4 linked regions of the Alligator mississippiensis genome follow. The protein of the gene in region 4 purifies or fractionates together with the protein of the main gene of each other region. This does not show direct contact. Links are inferred from orthologs where the notes say so. Each region holds a gene or a part of one and is shown on either strand. Other genes may lie near its edges. The genes, in order: LETMD1, ABCB10, AGPAT4 and SLC39A4.

Region 1 (7,976 bases), on a different chromosome or scaffold from region 4:
CGTCACCGCCGCACTCACCGGCCATTCCTCAGCCGCCGGCGCCGCCGCGCCGCCATGTCCCGGCTCCTGCCTGCCGCAGGCGCGGCTCGATGACGTCAGAGGTCACGGCCGGGCTGGGCCCCGCCCCCCGCACGTGGCCCGCCCGGAGCCGGGCGCGGGAGACCGTCGCGCCCCTAGCTCCTGCCTGCGGGGAGTCGATAAGCCGTCCCCGTTGAGTTAATCTCTCGTAACCCCCCCCTTGCTCCTGCCCGAGGTGTCGGTTACGTTATTAGGACAACCAAATAGTTGGGAAAAAATGGTCGTTCCAAGCTTTCAGACACAAACACCCTTTTTCAGGCATAGGGAGATTGCCTGAAAAAGGACATTTGTGCCTAAAATGCTTGCAAAGACCTTTTTCCCCCAACTATTTTAGTTGGTTTAATAAAAGATATCACATCTACCCAAAGAACCTAGCCTGCCTATGTCCTTAGACCAGGGACGGGCAATTATTTTGGGGGGAGGGCCGCTTGCTGAGTTTTGGCAAGCCATCGAGGGCCGCATGACAGGAAGCCAGGGGCAATTAAATATTAATTTTCTTAAATTTTTTAGGGGCCCCGCGGGCTGGGTAGAATGGCCTGGCGGGCTGCATTTGGCCCTCCCCTGCCTTAGACCTACACGGCTGCAACCAACAACCCTCCAGCTCTGAGATTTCACTTGTTTTTGACTACAGAAAAAGCAGTAGAGCAATTCCTCTGTTGCCAAGAACTCAGGAAGACCACGACAGGTCACAATGTTTTATAGATCCCTATATGAAAACTCTGAGCTTATCTCGTGAATCGTGTTTTCACACCAAACTGCTAAAATTGTGTTGCACCCAGCACCACCCTTGAAAGGAAAACTGCACAACTTGCATGGGCTGAAGTTCACTTCATATCAGGGCTTTTACTGAACCAACTACATGGTTGGGGCAGACTTAGACAAGCTTTTGCATGCAGGGCATTCTTCTTTAGGTCAGGTGAGGGCATACCAGTCTATCCCAAAGTGCAGTTGGTCGAATAACAGATATCAAAACCATCAAAATCCTTCCCTTGCATATTTTCTGCACCATCATGGCAACATCACTCCCATACCACTACTATCATTACTATCCATTTTGGTTATTTCATAATAAGAAGTAAAAATCCACTGTAATTCTTCCCAAACAGAATTTGTTGTCTTTGCATAAACATGTATCTAACTTTGGTTTGGATTTAGAAGAGATATATATTTTAAAGCTGATATTTTGAGCAATAGAAACATTCTGGTGGATTTTTTTTTAATGCGAAATGTTCTGTGGGAGAGAAATACTGTTTCCCTCAGAGCTCTGTTGTTATCTCTGTAGTCAGTGCGATTTAAAAAAAAAGAAAATTAAGCCATTTTCTGAAATTAATTTTCTGAAACCTATCAAGCAGAATTGTTCCATGTGTGAAGTAATTTGGAGACGGAGCAGGACTGGGAATGGCATCTCTCCCTGGTGATGTTATCATAACGTACCAAGAAAGACCTGCCATTACACACAATCTGATCCCCGACATGGAGAAGACTAGGCAGAGAGACTGAGAAAATAAAAGGAGGCAGAATCTTGGCAGCTGACATAAGAAATACCGAGATGTGATCCCATAAGTATCTCTAACAGATACTTGCTTGTCTCTCTGGAACAGGACAGGCATACAGAAAAGGCAACAGGACCAATCAATGGCTTTTAAATCTTTGCTGAAATTTGGATAGAACAAAATTCACATTCCTTTTTGAAGCTCTACCTTTTTCCCAATCAGACAAGTGTTGCAATGCTTATTCCCTTCTGCTTAAATGCATGAGAGCACAAATAATAACCCAAGATATTATCAGGGGAGCAAAATTACTGAATCCAGCAAAGGTAAGAGGGCAGCAAATCTGTGGGGCTCTTTGCTTCTGGTAAAAGCAATAGTTATACATTTCAGTTTGGGGATTAAAATTGCACAAACACCCCACCTCTCCCCTCTCAGCAGGAGTATGACAATATCACCCTGTTAGAAGAGCTAGGAACAGGATTGACAAGGCTGGATCAAGGCCAAGGTTTATCTAGACAGATAGTGTCCTATCTCCAACAGTAGCCAACACTGATGCTTCAGAGGAAAGGTAAAGAAAATCCAAGTAGCTAAGTACTAGCTTTCACCCAGGGAGTTTCTTCCTGATCCCCCCAGGTTTATGTTATGAAACATGCAGATTTATTTCAAAACCTCCAAAAAGGTTTAGAAAGGATAATTTGGAAGAACAGCCAGTAGCTTCATTAGACATCTAAGCAAAGGCACTTCCCTAGAGCCGATCCCTGAATAGCGAGTAGAATGGAGCTGGGGGACGACGACCCCCCAAGAGATTTATTCTTAGTTGAACAACAAAGTGCTCCACACTCAGATGATTCCATAGTTTGGCAAGGCCTCCTACAACCGAAGGAAATGGACCCTCTAGCTCTTCCTCGTGTTGCATTACTTACCCATTTCGCAGGCCGGAGGGCTCTGGTTTATGGACTGTTTGTTAGTCATTTTGTGAACCGGGCAGACTCTTAGCTTGCAATTCCCAGGAGAGAACAGCACAGCCTGCTCTCCCCTCTCTATATAACAAGTGCCTCCACCCAATAAGATAAGGGTACTTCACACTTGCCTTGGACTGGCTGGCATAGGGCAGAGCTACTTGAAAGAGGCTTGAGAAGTTAACAAGAATATTCTCCCAAGCATAATTGAGTCTATCTCTGTGCTACAGTAATTGATGACCTGACAAGGTGGTTATTAGCAGGGAATTAATTGGAGATGAGAAACTTTGATCAAGGGCATTCTCCCGATACAGGTAACTATCTGATCTTGGGTACAGTGAGTTATATTCACCTCCAAACAAATGCTAGTAGTCAAGGATACTAAATTAAAAAGTCATTTGGTAAAACCTCAAGTACCACCCAGGCAATTAATGCATGTGACACGCTGGACTTTGCTTCAAAGGGACCATTTTTCAAACAGATTACAGCCAAAACTGGCATGGCTGCACATTTTTGAGGTACGTGCAGCACTGATAAGATGTCAGTCATCTGTTCCATCAGCTGGAGAAATACAGCACCAAGTATCGCTGGTCAGTGCCAACCAGGAAACCTCATGAAGTGGGATGTGAACAATTGATGACCTGGAGGCTACTGATACAACCGACAAGCTTCTGTGCGTTTCTTCTGATAAGCAAAGAGCTGAATGTGCTACCCTTGAGAGGTACAGGGGAACAGGGCAAGGGATGATTAGAGTGCAACCACGCTACCATCTCAGCCTTTTCATGGATACCACGGAGGAATGGTCCCCAGTCTCAGCTGGCCTACAACCACTCATGCTGGACAAGCAACTCCCTGTGGATAACAGCAGCCTTGTCTCTCCTTGCCAACATCAGTCTAAGCTTTTTAATATCCTGTGGTCACGAGCAATGTTGGAGGGTCCTGTGGGCAACGTATAGCCTAGAAGCTGTGGGTCCAGGACCGCAGCTATCCAGGATTACTTGGGCTCACACTGCTGTGCAGCAGCTCTTTGGCTGTCTAAAGACACTGGGTAGAAAGCCACCATATTGGACAGGCTCTTTCTCCCTTCTTTCACTCAGTGATAGGCAAGTTGCTACTCAGCGTGATAGACTACTACAGGGTAAAAGCTGGGATAGAAATTTAGCCCCTGTAACAAAGGAAGAAGCCAAGTAGAACAAGCCAATGTTGTATGTTTCCAGATCGGGCTTCTCAGTTTCCACCCCTCACCCCCACTTCACCTTGCTCTGAAATAAGACACTGGAATTGGAGACCAGATACAAAACTGGGCAGGACCCTGCTCAGAAGAGATAGTTTGGGAACCCCTGCTCTGAGGTACGTGTACCCCTGTGGGTATACAAAGCATCTCTGCGTGAGGGGGTACACAGGAGAAATTGTTTAATAGCAATTTAATTTTCATTATAATTGGCACTTAAGGGGTTAAAATATAAACCGTATGCTGGTAGGGGCATGCAGGCAGCTGGTTAATCTGGAAAGGGGGTACATAATAGAAAAGGTTTGGGAAACTCTGAGGTAGAGAATCTGCCCTGGTAGCACTGGATGAGTTTTGCTCATATTTAGGGTGAACCTGCTCACCAGAATTCAGGCCAAGTAGGATTTTTCCCCTCTGAACCAGGGAACCTGGTTTACCTGACCTGTTCACTGCCTTCCCCGGCAGCCTGTTGGGATCACAGAGGCCCATGGCACCTCGCCACTCCTCTGCCCGCGCGGAGCTCAGGGAACGGCGCATGTTTCAGTCTCTTCTGTCCTCCACCTGCAGCGCATATTTTAGTTGTGGGAGGACCGAAATGTTGTATTTTCTTCTTTATAACAGCAAGTCTCCAATGCCTGAAGAAGGGCGTTTGTGCCCAAAAGCTTGCAAAGACCTTTTTCCCCCAACTACATAGCTGGTTTAAGTATCACATCTACCCAAAGAACCTATTTTCTTCACGTACAATATGGACCCTTCCAGGGACGGGAGTGGGGAGTCCCCTAACAACTGGGCTCTACTTGACTGAAGCCCCGGGGTTAAGGGAGGGCGCCTGGGGGCAGCCGGCCTGACACACAGCGGGGCCTGTCCCAGAAGCGACGCGCGGGGCAGGAGGGCAGAAGGAGGCAACTCCTCCCCCCGGAGGAGCTCGTGCAGCTCCGCAGGTCGCCAGGCCCGAAGCCCGCGCGGACGTGACGGCCGCTGCGCCCCGAAGCCAAAGGCCGCGGCGTGTAAAGGTCCTGAGGGATGATAACCGGTCAGAGCGCTCGCGTGCCGAGCCCACGTGCCCGCCTCGCCCTACTTCCGCCTGCGGTCACGTGCCAGGAAGGGGCGGGGAAAACCGTCCCTCTCTCCGCTCCGCGCCACTTCCGCCTATGGTCACGTGCCAGGAAGTGGGGTGAGGCGTGGGGAAGGCGCCGCCATTTCCAACCAATCCTCGAGTCCGGCGCTGCCCTTTGCCCTTTGGCCTCGCGGCGGCCCAAGATGGCGCTGCCCAGGCTGAGCGGTTGCTGGGGCGCTTTGCGCTTGTTACCGCGGGCGGGGCCCGCCTGGCTGCCCGGCCGCGGGGCGGTGAGGTGAGCCGAGCCCCCAGCTCCCCCCTCCGCTTCCCTCAGCGGCCGTTATGGCCGTTTCCATCCCCCCGCAACGGCCCGGCCCGTCACCCCGGGGTGGGGGCGGGGGCGGGGCGGGTTGTCTGCAAGTCCCCTTCTGCCGCAGGCCGCTGTCCTCCAAGCCCGACCCGCGGCCGCTCCTCAGCGCCCTGCTCAGCTCCGTGAAGCGCGCCAGCGGCCGGTACGAGCGGTTCCTGGAGAGGCGCTTCCCCCGCTTCTACCTGCTCTACGCCACGTCCCACCGAGGTAGGTGCCCCTTACACCAACACGGGTGCAGCCTACTTGCCCCGGTATCCGAGGCGCGTGAACGAACGCGCCTTCGACCCCCGCGCTCAGGTGCCGGGCTCTGGCGTTGCGCGGACGTGCTGATGAGCACTAGACAACAGCAGTAAGTTATTTCTGAGCAAACCCCCGTGCTGTGCAGCAGAGCATGGTGCCGCTTCCCCCGCTCCTCAAAGCACGCAGCTCTTCCTTCAGGAGACGCTGGTCGGGTAGCGGGAAAGCATGGGGAGCTGAGGTAAGGGATGGCACTGTCCGCTGGGCAGTGTCCTCCCCTCCCACGGGCCTGAGCCCCAGCAATCCCCCATCAGCGCTAAGAACCTGGAAACCAGTCGGCTCGTTACAGGCCAATCATCAGCCTCAATCCCTGCCGCTGCGCAAGGCACTAGTTAATTAGTTGAAAAAAAAATTAAATAACGCTACAGAATACTGAACTTCTTACTTTGTATTGATGAGCCTCAAAGTATGACATTTCCCTTTCTGATATTACTTAATGTATTAACGCAGGGTAGAGCTATGCTTGTCCACGTGGCCCTTGGCTCGTTTCTGGTTTGAAGGTTTGGCCCACTTGTTAAAAAAAAAAAAGAAAAGGCTGAGACCACTGCTGCAGTGTGTCCTACAAAGGAGAGTTTCTTCAGTCTTTTAACACGGTTATTCTGAAACATTGCCAGCCCGTTACAAACCAGGCGCTCAGGTTTCACTGACTGTTGCGCCGATCTGCTCTGGCAGTTCTTGTCTTGGCTGAAGTCAGAGTTTGCAAAGTCACCGGGAGAAGTAGTCCTTACCTCTGAAGAGGGGAGGGGGAGGAAAGGAGATGAAAAACCTCTTGCCTTCCTCTCTGTACGACATTTTGATGATTCAGAGTACATCTGCAACCTAAAGCTTTTGGCTTCCTCACCAACTCCCTCTCACATTCTGGCTGCTGCTTTTGATGGACTGGGTTAGATGCTGATTCCACTTCTCCATCTCGCCTCTCACACAACTGTCAATTGTGGCATGTATGAAACCATGCATGATGCATCCCATTATACTGTCACACACTGCTGTCAGCAGGCAAACTAAAGGGGAGGTAAAAGTTTGCAAAGGGGCTTTTTTTTTTTTGCTTGAGCTGGATGGGGCTGTGCTCAGCACAAGGCTTGAAGGTTCTCTTTATATTCTGCACAGGATTTAAGGCATTGTTTTTGGAGGCAAAAGAAATCAGAAAAATAAAGATTAACATGGCCCATCAGGGGATCAGTTTTCAGCAGCTTCCCTACAGAGACATGGAGAGACTGAGACAGGTGGGCCCAGCTTCTGAGGTTCTTCAGTATCTGTAAGTTGTGCTGAATTTCTCCAAGAGTCAGTTGTTTTGACTGAATTCTCCAAGCCCGATGGGCAAACTCATCCTCATCACACGTGCTTCAGTCAAGGGAGTTCCCTGTTCTAGGATCTCTGCTGCCCACCGCCCCCAGACGGCATTTTGGTTTATGAGTGGGTCAGCTGACTGTTTAACCCAAGGCAGCCTGGTAGCTGGATCTGGTGTATAACACTCCTGGGCCTGTTACTGAGCATTTCTCACTGAGAGCAGGGTTAGAGAGAAGGTGGTGGGTTGGAGGCCATCTCTTCCCTGCCCCATCCCCAACTGCCACTTGGGTTTCACTTGCTTGCCGGCTGCTAATCGTTGTTTTACTTCTTGTGCAGTTTCGCAGGGATCTGATCAAGGCCATTCCAGTATCACTGCTCTCCCTTCCACCTTTTGCCAACTACTTCGTCTTGGTGCTGATGTAAGTACATCCTTCCCAACCTTCCCCCCAACCATGCTAGGGCCAGGGCCTTGTCCTGAATAGAGGCTCAAATGAGGATTGTAGTCATTAGGAACTGGAGCTGACTCGTGCCCTCTCTTGGCGTTTCTTTTTCTGTTTCTCAGATGACGCTTGTGCTATTCTTGGCAGCCCAATGAGGGGGGGTTGCTACAGAACAGCTGTCTTTGTTCCTCCAGAGACTATTTTTGCAGCCATTAAAGCAACACTTGTATTCAGTCAAACTATAGTTTCCCAGTCAGATAATTTTTCACCCCACTTGAGTTGTTCAGTTGCTTGTCTAAATTGAGCAAACACAGAAAGGAAGGGCAGCCTGTTTCCTGTCTATCTGTCATTGTCTGGGCACCAGACATTAGCTGGGATCTGAAATTTTCTATCAAATTGATTTTTTCCCTCCTCCTGTGCATATTAAGTTTCCATCCCTAGGTTCTCCTCCACAGGAGACCCCTTGCATCTCTCGGGATGGTCTCTGCTCACTACATACAACTATGCAGGGTTACGTGTTTTCAGTGTCCCCTTGCAGCAAAAATAAATATGTATTAACAAATCAGACAGGTTTATTTTTGCCTGAGGATTCTTAAAATCCCTGCCCCATGCCTATGTCTTTCATTGTAACCTGATGAACACTGCAGACCATGTTGGCATTTGTGATGCTCGCCGTCACGTCTAAGTAGATTTGCCATCAAGAACGAGTTCTCTTGGACTCCTTGCAAGGGTCCAGACTTCCTGACTCCCTTTCCAGCTGTCCTCCCTCC
Region 2 (7,272 bases), on a different chromosome or scaffold from region 4:
GGCACAGTAAGGCCTGTAAAAAGCTGCAAAGGGATGGTCCCCTGCCACACACATTAGAGATCCTCAAAGCGAAGGGGCCAGGGGGGCTTTTCTGCACAAAGCATCTAAAGCCTGACTACTCCAACACTTCCTAGAAGGATGTGATGCTAACTAGGACGCTATTTCTAACATCCCCATCACTGGAGAGGTTCAAGCACTGGAGTTGCTCTCTAAGGCTGCATCCAGACAAACACGGACATTTGTTTCCTTGGGGACAAGCAGCAGCAGCACACCCATCTTTCTTGTACTTCATGTTGTTGTCTACAGCTCAGTTCTCCAGCACCTGGTGATGCTGCTACTTGTCCCCAGGAATGCGTGAGCCACAGGTGCTCTGGTGCATGGCAGGTTACTCTGTGTGGGGTAGGGGAGGCTGAGGCCAGCAACTGTGCTGGCCCCAGCAGCCTCACCTGGAGTCTTGGGGACCTGGGGGAGCTCCAGCTGCAGCATTCCTGCAGTTGAGAGCCTGGCCGATAGTTGGAGTGTGGCTCTGGCCAGCCACACTCTGGTTATGGGTGGTGTGCGCTGCCGCCCCGGAGTAAAAAAAATCCCTACTCAGCAAGGTAGCAGTGCAGGGAATGCCTGCATATGCGGTGTGTGGAGCCACAGATGGGTTTGCGGCCCACACACTGCATGTCCATAGTTGTCTGGATGTGGCCAAAGAGGACACCCTGCCCTGCTTTCTTTGTGAGGTCAGGAAGCAGGCAGGGCAGGGCTGCACCTCAGAGCAGTGGTTCTCAACATTGTTCAGACTTAAGGCACACCTTGATAAAAATCAGGGTGCCCCTAGAAAACTGTTTTCACTTATTCTTTGACCACAGAAAGGTAGTAATACATCAATTCTTCTGGTGCAAACAACTCAGGAAGCCCACAGAGAGGCAGAACAGATTTAACACGACAGATTCCTTCTTTGAAATCTCTGGGTTTAATCTCATGAGCTACATTTGCTACCAGCATTAACATTGTGTGGCACCCGCAGCATGCTCGAAAGGACCTCAGGGCACCCTGCAACACCCCTGAAAGGACCTCAGGGCACCCAAAGACCTCAGGGTGCTGTGACCTGTGGCTGGGAGTCACTGAAATGACAGAAAATCATAAAACCATAAGAAGTCAGGCTGGCCAGGCCTTCAGAGGGCATCTAATCCAGTGGTTCTCAACCTTTTTTGTATCAGGACCCATTTGTAAACATCGACGGCCAGTCCCGACCTAGTAAATAATTTAAGTAGAAAACAGCCCCCAGCCCTGCTGGTACCCCTCACTCCTGACCCACTGCCCCCCCATCCCCAGGCCCCAGACCCCCCAGCCCCACACACTGGGGGAGATATGTATGGGGTATGGTGGGCCCCAAGCAGCCCCTTGCAGGCTGGAGCTCTGCCCGTGCTTTCCTACATTTTTCTCCTTTAAAGGAAAATCCATTTTTTAAATTTGTTTGCAACCCTTTCATATATTCTTCTGACCCATGAGTTAAAAAAAAACAAAACACTGATCTAGTCCAGCCCCTTGCCTGAGGCAGGACCACCCCTATCCAAACCATCATCTAAACTCTACATAAGTCAGCTGTCAACCCTGACACAACACAGACTGAACACCGCCACCTGCTACAGGTAGAGCAGGGAAACCACAGCAGCCAACATCCTGCTTCTGTGAAAGGTTGTTCGTCAATATACCCTCAGGGGTAGGTAACCCCTGGCATGGGTGCCAGAATGTGGCACACGAAGGCGTTTTGCTTGGCACACGTGCCTCAGGGTGGACGGTGGGGATGGGGCCAAGGCTGCACTGCCACAACAAGGGTTGAGCTCTTTGCAGCTCCCCTGCCATCCACCCCTGGCATGCCAGTATCTTACAAGTCAAGGTTGTGGGCGTTTTTGGCACCCTGCCCAAAAACGTTGCTGACACCTGACTCAGGAGATCCAGGGGCCTGTGGCCTCACTACAGAGGAAGGCAGAGCCCCCAGGGCAACAACATGCTCCAGGAGCATGTGTGTGGGGGTGCCTTAATTAGAGCAACTCAGGTAGTGCAGACACAAGTTACAGAAGTTATCTTTTGAAATGCCTTCTTCTGAACCCTCCTGCAAAGAGGGTTAACATTTTCACCCAGAAATTTTCAAAGCAGTCTATAGCTGGGTGTGTGCATTGGGTCACAGCTACAGACCGCTTTCTGCAGCCAGATCCAGCGAAAACTGTCACTTCTGTCTGTGCCCTGACAGCCTCTCTAATTAAAGTGCCTGGGCAGCATCTTGTGCATCAGCATCCCTGCCCCAAAAAAAGGCAGTGGAGGTGCTTTAACTCAAGCTGGAACGAGCTTTAGTTAAAGGGCCTCCGCTGCTGTTTTTTGTGGCAGGGTCACGGATACACGAGATGTGGGACCACGGTAATCGCCTTGCTCCGGCAGACTCGAGGCTGCTCTGAGGGGCTACAATTATGGCCCTGTATCATGTAGGCGCCCCCTCTGACCATGGCCTCAAATGCCTTCCCGACCCCACAGGCAGCAATGGGCCTGACCCCAAGCAGTGGGGCAAGACCCTCTATCCAGGAACCCCACTTTGGGCCCAGCAGGCATGGCGGCACCCCCAGTCAAAGCCTCCGAGGGGGGACTTAAAACGCCCCTGACAGATGCAGCACGAAAAGCGGGGGGAGGACAACCAGCAAAGGCCGGCAACACAGGCCTGGCTGGGCAGCCCCATCCCTCCGGCCGGCGCCTGGGGAGGGAAGCGGGCGCGGGCTCTGCCTCCCTCGGGCCCCTCCGGGCGCGCCCCGCCCCGCCCCGCGGTACCTGCGAGCCGGCCGCGCTCGGGCCGCGCCAGCGCCAGCAGCTCCCGCAGGCGCAGGTGGCGGTGCGCGCCGAGGGGCGGCTCGAGCCCTGCCGGGCCGCCGCGCTCCGCCGCCGAGGCCGAGGCCGAGGCCGAGGCCGCGCGGGAGGAGGAGCCGGCCGGCAGCAGCAGCGGGCGAGGCGCGCCACGGGCCCAGGCCGGCACCAGGGTCAGCCGCAGCCGCAACAGCCGAGCGGCGGGGCCTGCCATGGCCAGGCAGTGGCTGGAGCAGGGCGGGGCGGAAGGAGGCGGTGCTGCGGCTCATACGGCCCCGGGAGCCCGCCCCGCCCCTCTGTGAGCCGGCGCCTGAGGGGGAGGGGAGACACCTCCCGCCGCCGCACGCAACCGCATACGCCTGTGCCCCTCCCGCACACACTCACGTTCCGTCCCTTCAACTCCCCGTAACTGCATACGCGTGCCTCCGTCCCCCTCAGCTCCACACACACTCACTCTGTTCCCCTCATCGCTACACACACGCACACCTCTGCCCTCCTCAAATCTACACACACAAGCCTCTGCCCCCTCATCACCTCCACACACACATAGTGACACCACGCCATTCCTCATCTCCGCTAGCTCACCGGCCTGGTCTCTCCTCTGGGCTCCTTGTCGGATCTCAGGTTGTGGACACACAAACCATTCAGAGCCCTTTCAACAGGAACTCTTCAGCTATGTTCCAGTTGCTGTGTGGGAAGGAGCTGAGAACAATTCCCATGAAGGGGAAAAGCCTCTCATTTTAAAACTCCTTCATCCAGGTTTAAAGTTAGAGGCGTTCTGGTGCCATCCCAGTTCCTTTTCCCAGTCTGGTGTGATGAGAAGAGAGGATAGATTTGTACCTATAAACTAAACAAAGTGTGTGTGTGTACACACTTCTGTTAGTGTACATGTGTACCTCTCCACTATTCAACTGCTACATTGTGCTTATAATATATAGCACAAACTATATAATGCAGTAGAGAGAGAGAGACATATCCAGATCTATAGATAGATATGACATATATAACACAAACTTACTTGGTGCGAAGAGACAATGATTACTAGGATGATGATATTTTACCCCTAAAATATAGCCTTGGCTTTAAAATAACTTTTCAGTCAGTCACAAAAGGAACACCAAACAACTGGCTCATTAAATGCTCACCAAAACTATTTTTTTTCCTGGTTTTATCACCATATATCTCTTTGCTTAAGACAAGGGTTCACCAAACTGGTATGCATACCCCTAGGAAATTGTGTAATGGCAGATTTAATTGTCATTATGATAATAACTGGCATTTAACTGGGTTAAAATATAACGTGTACTGGTACAGGAACACAGGCAAAAGGTAAATGTGGAAGGGGGTACACAATAAGAAAAAAAATTGGGAACCTCTGGCTGAAGGCAAGACTTTGTATGCATGAACTAAGTACAAGCAGTATTTGACTATTTTATCATAGTTTCATAGATGTTAGGAGCTAGAAGGGACCTTACAAGATTATCTGGTCCAGTGCCCCTGCGCTTGGGCAAGAAAGACTGCCTGGGCAAGATCAGATGACACCAGCAAGGAGGGCATCAAGACACATTCTGAAGATTGTCAGGGTGGATGAATGTACCACCTCTATGGGGAGTATGCCTAAGACTCGCAAGCCAAATGGAAATGATTATTGGCATCTTTGGGCAGTGATGAATGGCCTTACATAACATGCACAGTAGTATTGCTGGAGGTTTATAGTGTATATTTTTGTCACTTTGCTAGATGTCATAAAAAGGAGCCATAATTTTTGTATGAGATGCTCTGTGATTTTTTATGAGATGCAGTGGCTATATCTGATACACAGCAACACAGTCCATCCTTTCTCATCTTTAGTAGAGTTCCCAGTGTCCCCTAGCTTTCCAGCGCTGCTAGTTTTTGCTGTTTCTTTCTTCTTTCTAAATCCTTGTCTCCTAGAATCATGTTAAAATGTGAGAATTTCAAGCTTCATCTAATAAAAAAACTCCACCCCCCAACATTAGAGAGAATAGATTGAAAGCATGAGTCCGAAAGGATTTTAAACCTAAACTTAATATTTTTTAAAATGTTATGATTTTAAACTCATGATTTTTTGAGCTTGACTCATGATTTCTTATGTAGGCTGGGCAATACTGAAGGATAAGCACTTATTGTTTTGTACCAAATCAAATGAAGCTACATTTTATAAGTGTCATAACTGTGGTGACAAATAAGATAATGCAGTATTATCCCATTAATGCAATGTTCAGCATCACAGAAATAATGTCCAACAGCAATAAATAGAATGAATAAAAATAGCCTGGAACTACCCAATGAAACTCATTGCCATACAATGTTGTGGAGGACAAAAGTGTAACTAGGGTCAATAAGGGATTAGACAAAATATATGGAGGATAGGTCTGCCAGGGGCTACTCAACACAACGGAGTGGAATGTAACATACTCATGGTGACTAGGTGGGTAAAACAGGGAGCCGATCACTCTGCACTGTTCCTTATACTCCCCTCTAAAGCATCCACTATTTGCACTGTCGGAGACAGGATACTAGGCTAAATGGATCTTTGGTCTGACCCAGTGTGGCAATTCTTGTGTTCCTATGTAGCATATAAAAAAGATGTTCAAGGGACTACATTTCCTAGCAAGTGCTAAGCTATGGTCAAAGTTCACAGAATATAGTAACAGGGTCCTGTTGCATCTTCCCTTATGAAGATTTCCAAATGCAAATTAAACCCCCAGTAAGCTTCTGAGTGTTAGTTGCCCGTATCGTTACATACACACACGCAAAAAAGAAAAAAAGCAGAAAACAAAAATACCTTCTTTCAACAGCACAAACTTCTAGTCTGTTTGAATGTTCAAACCACATAGGATACATGCAGGCTTGAGTATTTGAAATTCTGTGACTGCTAGTACAAGTTTCAGTCACTCTAAAGTCAAGGACACAACATGAACCAATAAAATCTGCTAACCAGAAAATTAGAAATCTCTATTCACACTCACTGGTCCTCATGCAGCCCAAATCCTACAATTGGTAGGTTACCTTTACTCTTTCATGAAACGCTATTCCTTATCTAGGGTACATAGGTTGTAGCCATGTTGGTCTAAGGACATAGGCAGACAAGGTTTTTTGGGTAAATCTGATATCTTTTATTAGACCAACTCAAATAGTTAGAAAAATTCTTCTTTGCAAGCTTTCTGGTATAAATACCCTTCATCAGGCTGAGGCCCCTGCCTTAAGCAAGGAAGCTTCCTCAGCCTGACAAAGGGTATTTATACCTGAAAGCTTATAAAGAAAAATTTTTCCAACTATTTGAGTTGGTCTAATAAAAGATATTAGATTTACCCCAAATAAACCTTGTCTGCCTATTCCTTATCTAGGAAGGTATCAGATAACTGAATTTTTCTTCTCTCCTAAAAAACCAATTGTTCTTCTAAAGGCCATAGATGGCCCATAAAAAGTCTCAAAGCAAACATACAAACAAGAAACACAGCTGGAAGAAACTTGGTGTGTAGGGTTGCAAAACCTCACAAGAATATTATACCAATAGAAAGTCCTGTAATTTAAGGTCTCAGCCATGTTGCAATGAAATGCTGTGTTGGAGAACTTGAGTACAACAGAATATACCCTTACGGTGATTAAAACCCGGAGGAAATTAATTTCTCAACAATGTGAATTCCTGTCTCTGCACCATCACCCTAGGAAAGCTTTTCCCAAACTTCACTAATCCTGTGTGATAAACAGGAGGTCAGTGTTACATGGAAAATCTGAGCCTCTGCACCAGCTACGCTCACTCCCCCTCGGGAGGGTCCCTGGGTTCCTGTGGCAATCCTCAGAATAAAGATGTTCAAGGGTTGGATTAATTATTTTTTGTACTTCTATCAGACCAGAAAAGAAAGTGATATTGTACCTCTCCACTCTTGGATGAGACTGCCCAGACTACCCATTTCCCTTCTGCATTTATACTGGACCTCGGGGAGCCTTCATAGTACTTGAAGGGAGGAGGATGTGGCCTGTGCTGCAGTGGCACTCCAATCCGTACCTATGTGAAGGGGATGAGATTCCACACATGGATCTTGGCGTAGCAGGAACAATTTGGGCATATACTTGGTCTTGAGGTGTAGATGTCTAGACAAGAACAAATAAATTCCTGATAAATTAGCTAACTTTCAATCTTGGAATTTTTACAAGGCTGATTCATGCTAGTATTACAGTCTGACAGGTAGTCACACCATGGCAGACTCGGTCAAGTACCGAGCAGATTTGGAATTAAAGTTATTTTCAAAGAACACCCAATTAAATAAAGATTAAAATGATAGAACCATAACTTTTTACAGAAAGTATGAAAACTCCTAGCAGATTTAACACTTCTTTTTCTGTCAGATTTTTTTTTTTTACAGACAAAAAAAAAAAATATTATGGCAATTTTCATGTGTATTCATA
Region 3 (7,809 bases), on a different chromosome or scaffold from region 4:
CAAAGACAACAGAAAAACACTTCTGCCCGGTCCCATGCACTTGCAGAGGAGCTCTTTGGCTCTGCCTTCCAACATAGATTGCCTGCTACAAGGGGAGCAGGCAGTTATAGTCACACCTTACTTCCTCCTCTCATGCTTACCTTTCTGGGAACTTCCTGAAGTTCCTAACAAAATGGTTCTCAACCTTTTTAGACTCAAAGCACCCTTTCATCACTTTTGTTAACTGAGTGGCACCCCATTTCCAAAACAAGTGTATGTATAGCAATGCCTACCCCTTTGCAGAACGACCAGGCAGTAGGGGCAAGAGAAATGCCAGGCAAAGACAAGCCTGAGTTTATCTTCTGAGCTTCTCTCTTACCCTTCAAAGGATCCCAAAGACCACCAGTTGAGAACCACCATCACAGCCACCCCCTTGACTATCCAAAAGCCCAGCAGCTCTCTCAACTGGGCTGTTTCCTCTTAAAGGAACAGACCTGCCTATTACAAACCGTTTTAATTACTCGGTACATTGGCAGAGAGCTAGTTGGTACATCCACCAGCCAATTGGAACATTTTCTCTCTGTGCAAGTCCTTGCACACTTTGCAATATGATCTTCCTCAAGACAACAGTCAAATTTCAACTTGTCCTCATCTGTTCAGTACTGCCAAGATTACATCCGTAAATACAAAGAAACACATGCCTCCCTACACAGGGCGTTGAACCTAGAGCCTCATTGTTCCCTGGTTTCAAATGGCTAAAAGTGTGATTAAGCAGTAAGAGGACACAACACGCATCTCTGTTTAGAGAAAGATACAGTACAAGTTTCAGATCTTAAATCAAACCATTTCTAAAGAGAGGAATCAGAGACATCTGAAGCCAAATTCACTTTAGCCCCTTCCTATGGGGTCAGAAGAAGAGAGTTAAACCTTTTTTCTCTAAGAGCAAGTTACTACAGAGTGACAAAGGGAACAAATATACAACTCGTGAGCTCCTTTCCATTAACTCTTGCATGGACACTGTGTTCACAGATTGCTTTTACACTAGGGGTCTTTATTTGCAAAAGCAGAACTCACTCACACTTAGCACACACAGAGAACAACTCTATGGGGCAGAGCTGCTGTTGTGTTGTCAGTTCACAGTGCAGAACTTAACTCGCTTAGGCAAGCGAGCCACTTTTTTTTTTTTTTTTTTTTGCAACAGCAGTCATTAACAATCCAGATTAAGATTATACTGTTAGCACAAGTGCCACTGTGGTTGCATCACAGTTCTCAGAAGTATATGGGTTATTGTTCCCCTTTTCACACACACCCCTTTTGTAACCGATTAGTAGTTTGGAGTAGCAATGCTGAATCTAGATCAGCAGTTTCCAAACTACCTGAAGTCACCAAGCCCTTGCATACCACTTCTGCTGCAAAACCCCTACCCTGGCTCTGTAGGCCAGGTTGGCCAACAACCTGACCCAGCAATAGCAGCGCACCACCTCCCAGCTCCTTACCCCCATGACCCATCACAGAACCCAATGGCACAGTTCAAAAACCACTGCTCTAGATTAAGGTTACAGCCTCCTGGAACAAGTGCCTGCATTAATTTCACTGTTGTTCTTAGAGTTGCATCTCTGGGTTTACAGATGTGCAGCTCTTGCAAATGGAAGACAATTACACACAGACAATGCCAAGCAGAAAACACTGATCAGAACAGCTGCAGTACGGTTAACAAGGATTTGTACTCAAGTTAACATTCACTTGTTGAAGCAAATCCTCTAGTGGAGCATCTTACAAGTGCCAAGCAATGCTCTGGAGTCTGGAGATTTAGGCTGATGTGACAGTGTTCAGGCAGAGCGGTCTTCACTTTACTTTAGATAGGCTCAGATATCTTCATTTAAAAAAAAAAAAAAAAAAAGAAAGAAATCTTTATAACAAATCAAGAACATGCTAAATGCAGAGTGTCCTTCACTCCTTGCAAACACCACTCCTATTCTTTGTATGATTCTTCTAGGTGCAATGGGAAATTAATAGACTCTATTTATATACCTACATACCTTTCATTCAAAACATCTCATTATTTAGGCTCCACACAGGCTTCTTGATAGGAAGCACATTGCTGAAAGCAGCTGTAAATAGATGATCACAAATGTCTGTTTCCACAGCAACCCCAGTCTCCCTACTCCCCCCCCCCCCACCCTTTATTGTGATAGGGGAAAACCAAAATGAAAGTAGAAGGGGAGAGTACAAATGCAGGCTGGATCCCAGCAAATATCAATCCGTGCAGAATATGCACAAGTGCAACATCATGTGAGAAATATGGATAATATTTAGGGCAAGGCCTGGGGAATTTTTGTAGTTTCTATGGAAACAGTGGGGAGGAAGGAGGAAGAGAGAGAGAAAGAGAGCGAGCATGTGCATGACACAAAGGGAATCAACAGATAAGCAGGAAGATTCTCGTTGGCTTCAGCTTTTTTTCCCCCCCAAACAAAGGGATGAAATGCACGAGGAGAACAGAGATGAAGGCACTGCACAAATGGGAAGGACAAGAGCAAGCAAGGGAGGGGGGAGCAATCAAAGTTCTTCCCTAGGAGGCTACCAACCTGCAACTTGCCTCCGAGCACAGGCTGCTCCAGCACACGCACCCCTCCTCTCCTCTCCTCGCAGTCTGCCCCTGCCTGTCCTTTGCCTCATTACGCTCACTGTTTCAATGCTTATATACACACACATATATATATATATATATATATATATATATATATATATATATATATATATATATACACACATATACACACACATATATATATAGGCAATCAAGTGAAGTCAAGACCAGCCCCCTTGCAAATGCAAAGTTCTCTGGAAAGTAACAGGAATCATCACATACCTTGTGCCTGCCAGACCTTGACATATGTGCTTAGGAACCAGACAGAGAAAGGCTCTGAGACTCAGAAATTGCTACTAGTTTGCAATGAGCTGTAAGTCAGCCAAGACTGGAAAGAAAGCCAGACTCCACCCTTGGGGTGGGCCTTGAAATCAAAAAAAAAAAAAAAAAGAGCGGTTCTCAGCTGACGTCTCTCCCTACCCCATGTCACTTCCTTTTAAAGCTACAATTCAGCAGTCCAGGGGAGAGGGCTACTAATGCAACATCTGCATGACTCACCCGCCCCCCCCCCCATCAATTAGCAGGAGGAAGTAAGTCTTTCGCTTTTGTTTCCCGTTGGAAAGCACTGCTACAAAAACCTCCTGCCACAATGCAGGCAAAGCTTTATTGTAGATCACCCCCTCCCACACACACACACACACTTAATCCCAGCGCTTCCATTTAGGCAGGCTTCATCTTTCTTCCCCAGGCTGATGGTGGTGTTAGTGTCATGACTTGAGCACGTTTGCTAAATTAGATCATTACTAATTGAAGAGGATTACACTCCATTTGCATTATGCCATCCAAGATGGGCATCTTTGATCCTCTCTCCCCCCTGGAAGTTATTAAGAAGCACAGGAGAAGCAGCAGCTTGATCAAGGAAAGCAAATGCACAAACAGGACCAGAACTTTTGAAACAAAAATCCAGGATTTAGTTACAGGCAGAGCGCGATGTAACAGCACGTTGTCATTACACTGAGAATGCTGAACATGAATGAGAACAATGGCATTTCAGCAAGCAGTGCTGGCTGCATCCCCATATGCTGATTCAAGGCTGCGTGTAAAACCCCGGACACAAGAATGGGACAGATGGGGGCAATCCAGGAAGAGTGCCACCGAGTCCTTCAGACGGGATGTTCAACAGCTGCCATGGATGCTCAGCACCATCCCTTAGGGGAACTAATGTGGTATCCAGGGTGAATCTGAAACAAGTGGAATAGGTGGTAAGGTGATGAATACAACTCTCTCAAAAGGGTGGGGTGCAAGGTGTCTCCTACAGGCATTTCAGAGAGAAAACCCTCCACCACCTAGATTTAAGATATACTTACTCAATGATCTGGACAAAGCAAATATATATAAATATATATATCTATATATATATATATATATAAACACCCTTTTCAGATGGCTGGCTTCCAAGTGCTGAGTATCCTGACACACGATATTCACCATCTGTGAAACCCAAACATTTACTGTCAGTCTTTGATGGCAAAGTGAAAAAGCTTCTTTCATGAATGAACAGAATGGAAAATGGCAAGAACAATGCTTCTTAGATGCACAAAGAACTGGAAAATGAAGCAAAGCCTGATATAAGAGTTCTCGGTACTGGTATTTAGAGGTGTGAAGCACAGGAGAAACACCACCACCTGGCAAGTAGAGCACCGGGCTGAAACAAGACATATTGGTTGTAGTCTCATGTCTGTCACTGATCCACTGGGTAACCAGACTTGGGCAAGTCACTTCCTCTGTGCATCAGTTTTTCCCACTTGTAAAACAGAAATAATGACACTCAGGAGCTTTGATATCTATAGACAAAAGATACCATGGAAGCAGTGGGTATTCTTACGGGCATTAATTGCATGACTGCATTTTTTTAACTGCATGACTGCATTTTTCCCCTCCTTTTTACAGCTCTGTTTAGTGCCTAAAGTAGACAGGTTCATAATAAATGAGGGTGCTGTCTGCGGGTTCCTTGCCTCATTTGCATCAGATACTAGAACCTGTGTGGTTGAAGTGGTAAAGGACCTAGGAAAACTAGTGGTAAAGGACCTAGGAAAACTAGATTTTTTTCTTGGTTCCTTCAATATATGAGTTTTGGTAAGTTACTTAATGACATTAAAAAAGGGACTGGGGCCCTAAAGTAGGATTTAAGCAAATGTTATGCTTACATCCAAAATTGCAATCTCAAAAAGTCCCTTCTCGACTGCTTCCTCATCCTGCGGGTATCCAGGTTGTAGCCATATTGGTCTAGTGGCACCTGATTCCTCATCCTACAGGCATCTAAAGTCATGAGACAGGTTCTGACATTAAACATCCTCTAGAAACCTTCATTTCTTTGTGCCTAGAAATGCCTCAGTCTGAACAGTGCTAAACTGCTTGGCTCTTCCTCCAGCCATGCTTTAAAACAAGAGTGGCCCTTATTGCATTTAAAAAAAAATAACAAGGGATATTATTATATATATTTTTTTAAAGGAACTACCCTTAAGAGGTGGTTCTGAACTGTGAATCCCAAGTGGAGCAACACATCTTCACTCCAGCTGCAGAACAATGGAGAGGTGCAGCTGAAGGGGATCAGTGCTGTGCACTCATTAGCACCTATGAAAGCACCTACGAAAAATCAGATCTCAGATGTCTCAGAATAGATATCCACTCATTGAGGAACCCCAAATCAATGGAAGTTATCAGTTTTGGCTGAAGTCTCTCTGCCACAGTTTCCCATCTGTAAAATGGAAATAGTAGCCATGAAGAAAGTAATACTTCTGTATTCAAAGCAGGGTTTGCACAATGTACAGGAAATATGGCCTGGAGCCAAATAAACACTGATAACAGAAAAGAAATATGAACAGCTGCCTTGTCTCCCCGAGACCCACCCAACTTGAGCAATGAATGAGTCAAACTTTCTGAACAAACTGAGCATGTAATTAATATCTAGAGTAGATAGGGAACTAAATCCAGGCTACACAGGGCATTTTTGATGTTTCTGAGTTTTTGTGTGTTGCGCTAGGTAGCCTTAATCATGAGTTTTTTACTTAGTTTTGCACACACATATAGAACTCTATTATTTGTATCAAGTAATAATCAATGATTCTAATCAAGATCATGACCTTGTCATGTTAAACATGCAAGAAGACCAGATCCTAGCTCATCACTTGACAACTATTGGGTGATGTGCATGAAATAAGTTACTGATCTTAACTCAATCTGTCCATAACAACTGTTTGAGCCATGCCAGGCAGAGCACGTTAGTTACGTGAGACCAAATGGAATAAAAGTGCATCTCTCCTACTTTTACCAGCTGGAGTGGATTAGCACATATCTATATAACTGCACAAAGGATTAGATTTAATAAATTTAACCACAACTTAAGGGTTGGCTGTACTATCAACGTCTGCTGCTTTACCTACATGGCTACATTTAAAGCAATAAAATTCTTAGTGTTGATATAAATATAAATTGACAAAAATGCTTATATTGGCATAGTTTATTCTGAGATAAGGTATCTGTATACTGGTATAACTGCATCCAGCCTAGGGCTTGTATCAATGCAACTAGTACAGGTGGAGGAAGAAAAAATTATTTGGGAGTGGGGCTGAGTGTGCCCCCATGCCTCTCAGGGTGCACATAGCAGCAGGAGCTGTGCCCCCTGGACAAGCCACTCATGGCTCAGTCCCATGCTGCACCCCAGCTGTGCAGCGCCTGCCTAGCTCCAGCCCCACTCCCACTCCCTTCCTCACCACTGCGCGTGTGCCCCTCCCCATCCCTGCTGCAGCTGCAAGAAGCCTGCGGCTGGGCTGCCTTGTGGCCCTACCACTGCCCTGAGTCTCAGGGTCTAAGCCCCATTAGCCCCCCCCCCCTTTCTGCTGCCTATGACAACTAGGGTGAATTTTTTTTTTTTTAATCACATCCTAGTCAAGTTAATCATCCACAAGCAAGCCATATGAGGAAAAACTGACAGATATGGGACTGTTCAGCCTAGAAAAGGCTTTAGGGGGATTTGGTGGCAGCTTACAAATATATCAGGGGTGAACATCAGGGGCTGGATGAACAACTATTCACCAGAGTGACCCAGGGGAAAACCAGCAGCAATGGTTATAAACTTCTAGAAGAAGGTGTCAGACTGGATATAAAGAAAAACTTCACAGTTCATGGAGATCTTCAAAAGGAGACTGGATGCACACTTTGCTCAGGTTATTTGACCCCAGCAGTCTTTCCTGCCCAGAGCAGGGGGCTGGACCTGATGATATTACGAGTTCCCTTTCAGCTCTAAACGCTTGTGAATCTCTGACTTCTCTAGTGTATACCATTTTAAGTGTAACCTGTACCAATTCATCTATTTTAGTCATTTAGTGATTCCACTATCTTTATACAGGAAAGCTTGCATATATGCAGAGCACATACGAACAAAAATAACCTGTTGAAGTCATACCCCAGGGGCACAGTTATTTCTGTAATAGATTTATTCTTGCATTGAGGATTCATATCAGTAAAGCTGTGTTGAATGCAGACATGACTTTAAGATGGTGTATGCCTGACTCAGTCCTTTACAAGGTTTAGTAAACATGCATTTGATATTTGGTGACTGGAGGAGTTGAGAAGGAATTCACTTAATGAGTTTCTTCCTTTGAACTTGGATTCATTTTAGGGATAAATCCACAAGGACTAATTTATAACTGGCACATTGAGCTTTTAAAAGAACACCATTTCTTACATTAATAAGATACTGAGGGTGGTACTTTCAAAGGGTGTCCTAAGCTGCTTTTTGTCAGATCAGGCCCAATATTTGGATGTACACTTATCTGCATGAAAAGGCTGTATATGCATATGAATTCTCTACTTTCTTTAAGTATCCAGTTTGCACATGCCCATGAAGAAAATTATTGTTTGTTTACTTGTTTATCTACTTGTGCTGTATCTGATTGTCGCAGGGCACCTCGGTGCCCCTGCTCCTGGAAAGGAGAAACTGCCAGGGAGCGAGTGAGCGTGCCCTGGCCTGACATAACGAGCCCAGCTGAGGCTTGCTCAGGTAATGAGCGCAGCTGCAGGTTGCCGGAGCAACCAAGGGGAGCCAGCTGCCTGTAGGAGGCAGGGCCTGGCCCTTATAAAGCCCAGGGCTGAGGCCAGGCTAGGAGTTCTCTGCCAGTAGCTGGAGAGGCAGGAGCTCACTCAGCCAAGCTATGGGAAGAAGTCTGAGGGGCAAGTACAGC
Region 4 (8,103 bases):
GAGCCAGCCCAACCCTGTGGTGGCCCCGGCTCAGCTCTGCTGACGCACTTGGCGTCTCTCACCTGCCCCCACCTGCCTCCCAACCCTCCCTGCCTGCAGGGCAGACGGAAGGAGGCCAAACCAGTCTGCCTGGCCCCTGCTGCCGAACAACACAGCCCTGTGCGCTGGGGTGCACGTGCACGCCCTGGGCCCCCAGACTGCACTTGCACCTGGCCTGCGTACACAAACACACACTGAGCATATATCCGCTGTGCACTTCCATTAGGTATACCTATACCATGGACACATGCACTGGGCACATAGTACATGCACACCAGGCATACATACATGGTGCACATGCACTTGGCATACCGTACACACACACTGGGCATACCTACCCCAGCATACCTACTGCATATAGTGCACACGCACCCGGCACACACACACAGTGCACACACACTGGGCATACCTACTCTGTCCATACCTACTGCATACAGTGCACACACACCCGGCACACATACACAGCGCGCACACACTGGGCATACCTACCCCGTGCATACCTACTGCATACAGTGCACACACACCTGGCACACATACACAGGGCACACACACTGGTCATACCTACCCCGTGCATACCTACTGCATACAGTGCACACACACCCAGCACACATACACAGCGCGCACACACTGGGCATACCTACCCCATGCATACCTACTGCATACAGTGCACACATACCCAGCATGCATACACAGCGTGCACACACTGGGCATCTAGTGAACATGCACTGGGCATTTAGTACACACACCCCAGCATATATACCCCATGCACACATACAAGGGACATGTGTCCTGTGCACACCCACTGCATGCAGCGCACATGCAACAGGCATACTGGCACTGGGGACACACACTGGGAATAGAGCGCCCATAATTCACATGCCCCAGGCTTACAGGCATGGTGCACGCACACTGCATACGGTGCACACGTACCGAGCATGCCTGCACCGCGCGTGCACACTGAGCGTACCGTGGCATGCACACACATGCACACCAGGCACCCCGGGCACACCGTGCATGCACCCGGGGCGTAGAGCGCTCACGCCCGCCGTGCGGGCACACGCACCACGGGCTCCCGGGCTCAGTCCGCGCTGGAGTTTGGCCGGGCCGGGCCGGGCGCAGCCGGGGCGGGGGCGGGCGGCGGCCCTTACCTTTCCACACGGCCCGGCGGGGCAGTGCGCACGGGCCGCCGCGATATTTAACAGCTCGTCCAAGTCCGCGCGGCGCACGGAGCCTTCTCCCGACGGCAGCGCGGCCCCGGCCCCGGCCCCGGCCCGCGGCACCACGGCCAGCGCCAGCAGCAGCAGCAGCGCGGCCCGCGCCGGGGGGACCATGGCACCACCTGGGGATGGCGTCGAGCGGCGGCTCTCGGCGCAGGAGTCGGAGCCGGGCAGGGGCGAGATGGAGCGGGACGCGGGCGGGGGTCCCGGGGCAGGAGCCGGGCAGGGGCGCCGGGCGGCAGCCGGAGCCGGGCACCGGCGAGATGGAGCGGGAGCACGCGGGAGCGGGCCGCGGGGGGAGCCGGGCGGGGGTCCCGGGGCGGGAGCCGGGCAGGGGCGCCGGGCGGCAGCCGGAGCGGGGCAGGGGCGCAGGGAGCCGGGGCGCGGGGAGCCGGAGCCGGGCACCGGCGAGATGGAGCGGCAGCGGGAGCACGCGGGAGCGGGCCGCGGGGGGAGCCGGGCGGGGGTCCCGGGGCGGGAGCCGGGCGAGGGCGCGGGGGGCCGGGCAGGAGCCGGAGCGGGGCAGGGGAAGCTGGAGCCGGGCTGGAGCTCCGGGGCTCGGGGCTGGCGCTGCGCGGAGCAGGGCGGGGGTTTCTCCGCGCCGCGGTGTGAGGCTGCCGGGCCCAGGTCCCTCCCGCGGGGGCAGGGCCTGAGCGCAGCACGTGGCCGGGAGCGGGCCCGGCCTGGGGCGGGGGGGCACCCGGGGGGGTCGGTGCTGGGAAGAGCGCGCCGGACGTGAGTCAGGGCAGCGGGCAGCGGCGGACGGCTCTGCCCGCGAGCCCACGTCCGCGCGGCCCCGGGCAGGAAGGGGCAGCTGCGGGGCGGGGGCCACGGCTTCGCGGCTCCTGTGTCCGCGCCCGGCTGGCACCCCAGGACGGTGTTTGCCCCTCGGCAGCCCCCGCCCGGGCAGAGTGCGGCCTCCCCGCTCCCACCCCTCGTCCCCCCAGCCCAGGAGCCCCGGCAGAAAGGTCACCACGGGGCTGGGTCACAGGGGCACGGGGCGCCAGCTGGCGCCGGGAAGAGCTGGCCGGCCCGCGGCTGATAAGGAGCCCGGCCGTGTTTGCTCAGCTCAGGCAAAGAGGGACAGACGAGTGCCCTGGCCCCTCCGCAGCGCCCGAGCCGAGCTCCTCTCTCCCAGGCAGGATCCGGCCCCGGCCCCGGCCCCGGCCCCGGCCCCGGCCCCGGCCCCGGCCCCGGCCCCGGCCCCGGCCGCCCCGTGGACCCGCAGCAGCCGGCGGAGCGCCGGGCCCGGGGCCTGGCCCAGAGCTGGAGCCCGGGAGGTGCCGTCGCGTGCAAGGACTCACAGGCAGGTTGCACATGCACACAGGTGTGCACACACACAGGCACACCCGCACACGTGCCCCCGCGCACACTCGTCTGCATGCATACACACAAACGTGCACATGCAAGCGCACACATGCTCGCATGCACACACGACACACGTGCGCACGTGCACACACGGCACATGTGCATGCACATGCACACATGCACACACCAGCTCTCCCCTTGCCCCAGCCCCCCAGTCCTGCTGGGCGCAGGGGTCAGGAGCTCCCAGGCAAAGGGGGCAGCTCAGCCCTCCCCCCCCCACTGCCCTGGGGCAACCCCCAAAGAGCCCCCTGCAGGAGAGCACCCCCTGGTGGTTGCCCCTAGCACCACCTGCCCTGTACCACCCCACCAGGCTGCAGCTCTCTCCCCCTGCAGCTGCCCCCCAGCCTGCCCTTGGCTCCGGCTGGAGCTGAAGCCTTTGATCCTCTAGGGAACCTATCCTGAGTCACCCCCGGAGCTCCAGGCACTTTCTCATAGCCCGGCCCAGCTGTCTCCCTCACATCCTGCTTTTGTCTGGGTAGGACATTGCCCCTCCCCCCCGAGTGTACAAGGCACGCATATGCTTTTGCACACACACATGTGCAAGCACTGTAGACCAGGGCATGGGTGTGTGTAGGTGAGTGTGCAGGGAAGCCCATGCCGCATCCAGCTGTGGCCGGGAGCATGGGGCGAGCGCATCTGGGAACGGGCACAGTCGAGGCGGGGTACAGACGCATTGTGGTTGCCATGTGCAGGCGTCCACATGCTTGCGGCGGGGCGCAGCGCTGGCATGTGCGTGCATCGGCATGTCCTGTGTGTGGGGCAGCGCCTTTGGTAGCTGGGGGGCGGGGGCGGGCAACCGTGGCTTGTAACCCTTCACATGCTGGTTCCCTTCCCCCCCTTAAGCCTTTGGTTCCTCGGGGACTGCAGGGTGCCCATGCGGGGTGGGGGCTGGAGGCTGTGCCTGAGCCCTGGGGCTGGGGCTGTGTCTGTCCAAGGATCCCTGACTCCCAGGATGTGCTCTAACCACTACACCCCACTCCCTCCCCAGACCTGGGGCTGGAACCCAGGAATCCCAGTGCACAGGGCCTTCCTGCCCCCCCCCCCGCCAGCGGAGCCCACTCCTATCCCTGAACCAGGGAGAACCCCCCCCCCCCCCCCCCCGTGCTGCCCTGCCTCTGCTCAGCTCTGCCCGGTGCCACCCCCCAGCTCCGAGGCCGAGGGGCCCCAGGCCTCCACACGGGCTATTTGAGCGGGGATGACACAGCTGGCGGAGCCTGCGTGCACACCCGCTCACACACGCACACAAACACGCACAGCTATCAGGAAAGCGGGGGAGCTCCGGTGCCTGGGGAGTGAATCAACTTGACGACACCGGGGCCCACTTCCAGGGGCAGCGCGGTCTAGCAGTCACTGCCAGAGGGACTCCCCCTCCCGGCTCCTCCCGGAACTTGGCACATGCCCAGGCTGGCTTCCTGTACACAGTGTGTGCCCCCCACAACCTCCAGTGTTAAAGGGGCAGCTCCTGTGTGTCCAGACCCAGTCTGCATTGATGTGTGTGCACACCCCTCCCACGTATGTCTGCGCACACACCCACGCATACACACATGCCACCCCCGGACATGCCGCCCTCACACACACACACACCCACCCACACATGCAGACACACCAACACACCCACACATATGCATGTACACCCCCCCAACACACATCCTATGACCCCAGCTGATTTCCTGCCCCTGGGGCAGGGGGCTGGACCCGGTGATCTTCCGAGGGCCCTTCCAGCGCGAATGTCTACGAAATCTATAAAATCTACAAAACATGCATGTGCACACACACACGCACGCACATTCTTACACATGCATGCACATCCCTGTCCCCTTACACATGTATACATACACACACACATGCATGAACCCCCCGACATGTACTTGCACCCCCCAACACACACACATGCACACGCGCACACACACACACTCAGTGTTGTTGCTAGGCACAAGCTTTGAGTCTGAACCTGCCCCTGCAGCATCTCTGGGCTGGACCTTCATTAAGCCCCCGGACTCCTGGGCTCTCTTCCCCGCTTGGCCAGAGCGTCCCCCTGGCTGGCCTGGGGAAAGCCTTGGGCTCCTGTGGCAGGGCCTGAGAGGCATGAGTCCCCACCAGGCACCCAGCAGGCAGGGCAGGGGCCGGGCAAAGCCAGGCCAGACCTGGCGCTGTGCCGGGGAACGTCAATGCCGCGCCCGGGGCAGGGGGCCGCGTCCTTGGAGCCTGCAATGCCTTGCGCTCCCAAACAGCACCATAAACGGGCCCGATTGACACCTGCGTGACACTGCCCTCTGTGCCACGCTGTCCTCAGGTGCTCTCAGCCCCAGCTGAACCTCAGCCCTGGCATCGGCGGTCCCTGTGCCATGCCAGGCGCCCTGCCAGCCCGGCTGCCCTTCGCTCGGGCCCGTTCATCAGCAGGGGACTTTCCTCCGGGCTGATAGGGAGGCTCGTAAACCCGCTGGCGCTGCCATGGCTTTGGCACTGAGGGCATGGACCCCACTCCAGAGCCTGCTGCTGAGACGTTTAGCCCCTTAAATCAGGAGTTGGGGTCAGGGCCATGCAGGTCTCCTGGAGGGGACTGGGCTGGGGGAGCCCCGTGCCCTCACTGCAGAGCCCAGCAGGGTCTGGGCACTGCCCGTCCAAGGCTATGTGACCCGGGGTCGGTGCAATGGTCTAGCACGTGGCACCAGGTGCAAGGGGGGCTGGAGCAGCTGAGCCCGGCCTGGAGCTGGGGGCACCGGGGGAGTTGAGCTGGGAGATGTCATTGCCCCGGTTGGGGGTGGCAGCGGTATCCTGCCTGGGCTGTGCCCCCCCGGGGGGCTGGGTCCAGACCCCACAGCCCACCCAGCCCCAATTTGCAACCAAGTCCTGGTGGTGCTGGTGGCCGGGGCTGGGCCCGAGGGGTCCCTGCCTGCTCAGGGTCTTGCACCCCTGCCCTGGCAGGGACAGCCCTAGACACCCCCATTGCCAGACAGCTGGGAAGGAAAGCATGGCAGTCAGGCCCAGTGGCCTAATGGATAAGGCATCAGCCTCCGGAGCTGGGGATTGTGGGTTCAAGTCCCACCTGGGTCGACCAGCTGCTGTCTTTTTTTCCCTTTTATTTCCATGCATTACATGGGAGGCTGGCAGCCGGGGGCACGGGCCGGGTTTGCCCAGCACCGGGCCCGGGGCAGCCAGCTCCCCGCAGCATATCCAGGGGGGCCTCGCGCCTCTCGAGCCCCTGCCCTGAGCATCCCTTAGACCCGTGGGGCCGTGCCCAGCAGAGCAGCAGCGGCGATGACCCTGAAGCCTAATGATGACCCAGTGGGCTCCTTCCCTCCAGACTGAGCCTGCCTGCTCCAGCGGGGCCCAGGCCAGCTTGGGACAGGCACTCCCAGGCCTGGCCCCATCGCTGGCAATGATTAAAGAAGTGCTGAGTCCTCCTGGGGCAGCTTTATGGCCTGCTATAAACCCCTGTTGAGATAAGCCAGGGCAGGGCGAGGTTGGGGCAGGACTGGAGCGCGCCGGTTCCCTGCCCCAGGGTGGCTGGACGTCCCCGCTGGCTGCTGGCAGCTCTGCCGGGCCCAGCCCATGTGGGCGGCTCGCCCCTTGCTCGGGACATTGTGACCCAGTTGGCATCGCCCTGTGGGTCACAAACCTGCCAGTCACCAGCCGAAGCTGACCCTGGTGTCACGGCCTGCAATGTGGCTCCGTGGCCGAGCCAGCAGCAATCCAGGGAGCGGGTGTGGGAGCCCCCCGGGTGCAACCCCTGGTCTGTTGGGGGGTGAAGGCAGGGCTGGGGGGAGTCTTCCTGCTTGGGGGGGTTGTGGGGCTCCTGGGCTCAGCCCCTGGGGATGCTGGTGCTGGGGCAGGACCGGCAGCACCAGCTGGTGCTCCATGCACGATGCGTGGGGCACAGCCGTGGTGAGGGACGCTGCCTGCTCCAGGGGACAGGTCCAGAGCTGGGACAGGGACAGCCGTGCCGGCTCCGCGGAGGTGCCTGTTGTCCATGGGCAGTCAGGCGGTGCACATGCTGCAGCCAGCCCGGAGCTGGGCAGGATGTGGCTGGGGCCGAGGGAGTCCTCGACCTGGGGGGACTCGTCCCTGGTCTCCCCCCGAGTTGGTGGAGCCAGACCAGGCCAGGGGAAGGGGCTGGAGGGAATGACCCTCTGCCCCTCCTGCCTTGTTGCCCCTGAGCTAAGCCAGGTGGGGAAACTGAGGCAGGGGAAGGGGTGCATGCCAAGCCGGGCAGCGAGGCAGCAGCAGCAGAAGTGCCCCCCCACCGCATGCTGGAGCAAAGCAGACAGACAAGCCAGGGGGTAGACATGGGACAGGGAAGTAAGGGGGGAGGCAGAAGAGCTGCCCTCAGCTCCTCCCTTCCCTGGTACATGCCCCCTGTGCAGACACCAAGCAGCCCCGGGGCAGGGACAGACTGCGGGTGGGGGCTGGGGACTGCCAGAGGCCTGGGCCGGTGCACGGTGCTGTACGATGAGCTCAGCACCAGCTTCGCCCCTTGCTCTCCACTTGTGGGTGCCGCCCCCCCAACCCCTTATGCAAGAGGGGAGCGGAGCGCTGGCATGTCCCCAGGTATGTCCCCGTCCCGGCCCCGCTATCCAGGGGTCACTCGGTTCACACGGAGCCAAAAGCTGTGCCGGGCTGGTTTCCGCTGCTGCAGCAGGGTGCAACACAGGCACTCGTGTGCTGCATACATGCGTGTGCCTGTGAGCATGAGACCAGCGTGTGCGTGTCCTAGTTCCCCCTCTGCTCCTCAGCAGGAAGGAGGCTGTCTTTCTTCTCCAGGGCTGTGCAATGCAGGGGCGGTGTGGGGTGACGACAACAGACCCTCTGTGCCAGCCTTTTCCAGGCTTTACAGGCAGTGCCTGGCACCTGCCCAGCCCAGGTGCTTCCTGCTGGCACCCATCCTGGGACAGGGCTGGGGGGAGCTGCTCCAGGCCTCTTTTCCTGATGGAAAATCCCCCCTCCTGTCTAGCCACAGGCGCCGGCACAGGGCAGCGAGTGGCAGAGCTGCCGCGCTCCGCGTGGTGATGAAGGGGGGACCCATGGGTGGAAGTTGCAGGAAAGGTGGTTTATCTTGGGGAGCAGGAGACTTCTTCGCTGTGGGGGGAAGCGGGGGACCCTCCGTCACTGATGAGGTTGAAGTCGGTTGCTTATTCCCAGTTCCTTATTCCTGGTTCCCTATTCCTTATTCCCAGTTCTTTATTCCTTATTCCCAGTTCTTTATTCCCAGTTCTTTATTCCTTATTCCCGGTTCCTTCTTCAAAGCTAATCTAGACCCAATAAAAACGTGTTATTAATGAATTACACGCCCTAAAGAGGGAGAATTTCATTAGCTATGCATATGTATTGATTACTATGTAAAATAATATCCCACATCAAGTACAGAGCCCTAAATGAAGGTCAGATGAGGATGGGATTATGGGGCAAAATACTTCTTGGGGCACCCCAATTTTCCTGTTGATGCCACTGGGGGACTGTCCCAAAGACCGCTGACTCCAGT

Evidence for each region.
Region 1: the proteins of SLC39A4 (region 4) and LETMD1 purify together in Homo sapiens (affinity purification with mass spectrometry; 3 studies listed by BioGRID and IntAct, counting the BioPlex papers as one, with this or other methods). This does not show direct contact. The link is inferred for Alligator mississippiensis from reciprocal best matches to the Homo sapiens genes SLC39A4 and LETMD1.
Region 2: the proteins of SLC39A4 (region 4) and ABCB10 purify together in Homo sapiens (affinity purification with mass spectrometry; 3 studies listed by BioGRID and IntAct, counting the BioPlex papers as one, with this or other methods). This does not show direct contact. The link is inferred for Alligator mississippiensis from reciprocal best matches to the Homo sapiens genes SLC39A4 and ABCB10.
Region 3: the proteins of SLC39A4 (region 4) and AGPAT4 purify together in Homo sapiens (affinity purification with mass spectrometry; 3 studies listed by BioGRID and IntAct, with this or other methods). This does not show direct contact. The link is inferred for Alligator mississippiensis from reciprocal best matches to the Homo sapiens genes SLC39A4 and AGPAT4.

The regions. Positions count from the first base shown.
Region 1 is NC_081838.1:10,319,624-10,327,599, reverse strand, and holds the start of LETMD1 (LETM1 domain-containing protein 1), read left to right. Parts: upstream 1-4,962; 5' UTR 4,963-5,015; coding exon 5,016-5,107; intron 5,108-5,249; coding exon 5,250-5,389; intron 5,390-6,586; coding exon 6,587-6,702; intron 6,703-7,102; coding exon 7,103-7,185; intron 7,186-7,976. UniProt on the Homo sapiens protein: Plays an essential role for mitochondrial structure and function, as well as thermogenesis of brown adipocytes.
Region 2 is NC_081824.1:149,023,888-149,031,159, reverse strand, and holds the start of ABCB10 (ATP-binding cassette sub-family B member 10, mitochondrial), read right to left. Parts: upstream 3,074-7,272; 5' UTR 3,056-3,073; coding exon 2,809-3,055; intron 1-2,808.
Region 3 is NC_081824.1:138,634,091-138,641,899, forward strand, and holds the start of AGPAT4 (1-acyl-sn-glycerol-3-phosphate acyltransferase delta), read right to left. Parts: upstream 3,001-7,809; 5' UTR 2,849-3,000; intron 2,044-2,848; exon of another isoform or gene 2,019-2,043; intron 1-2,018. UniProt on the Homo sapiens protein: Converts 1-acyl-sn-glycerol-3-phosphate (lysophosphatidic acid or LPA) into 1,2-diacyl-sn-glycerol-3-phosphate (phosphatidic acid or PA) by incorporating an acyl moiety at the sn-2 position of the glycerol backbone.
Region 4 is NC_081826.1:1,540,327-1,548,429, forward strand, and holds the start of SLC39A4 (zinc transporter ZIP4), read right to left. Parts: upstream 3,109-8,103; coding exon 3,083-3,108; intron 2,191-3,082; coding exon 1,188-2,190; intron 1-1,187. UniProt on the Homo sapiens protein: Selective transporter that mediates the uptake of Zn(2+). Plays an essential role for dietary zinc uptake from small intestine. The Zn(2+) uniporter activity is regulated by zinc availability.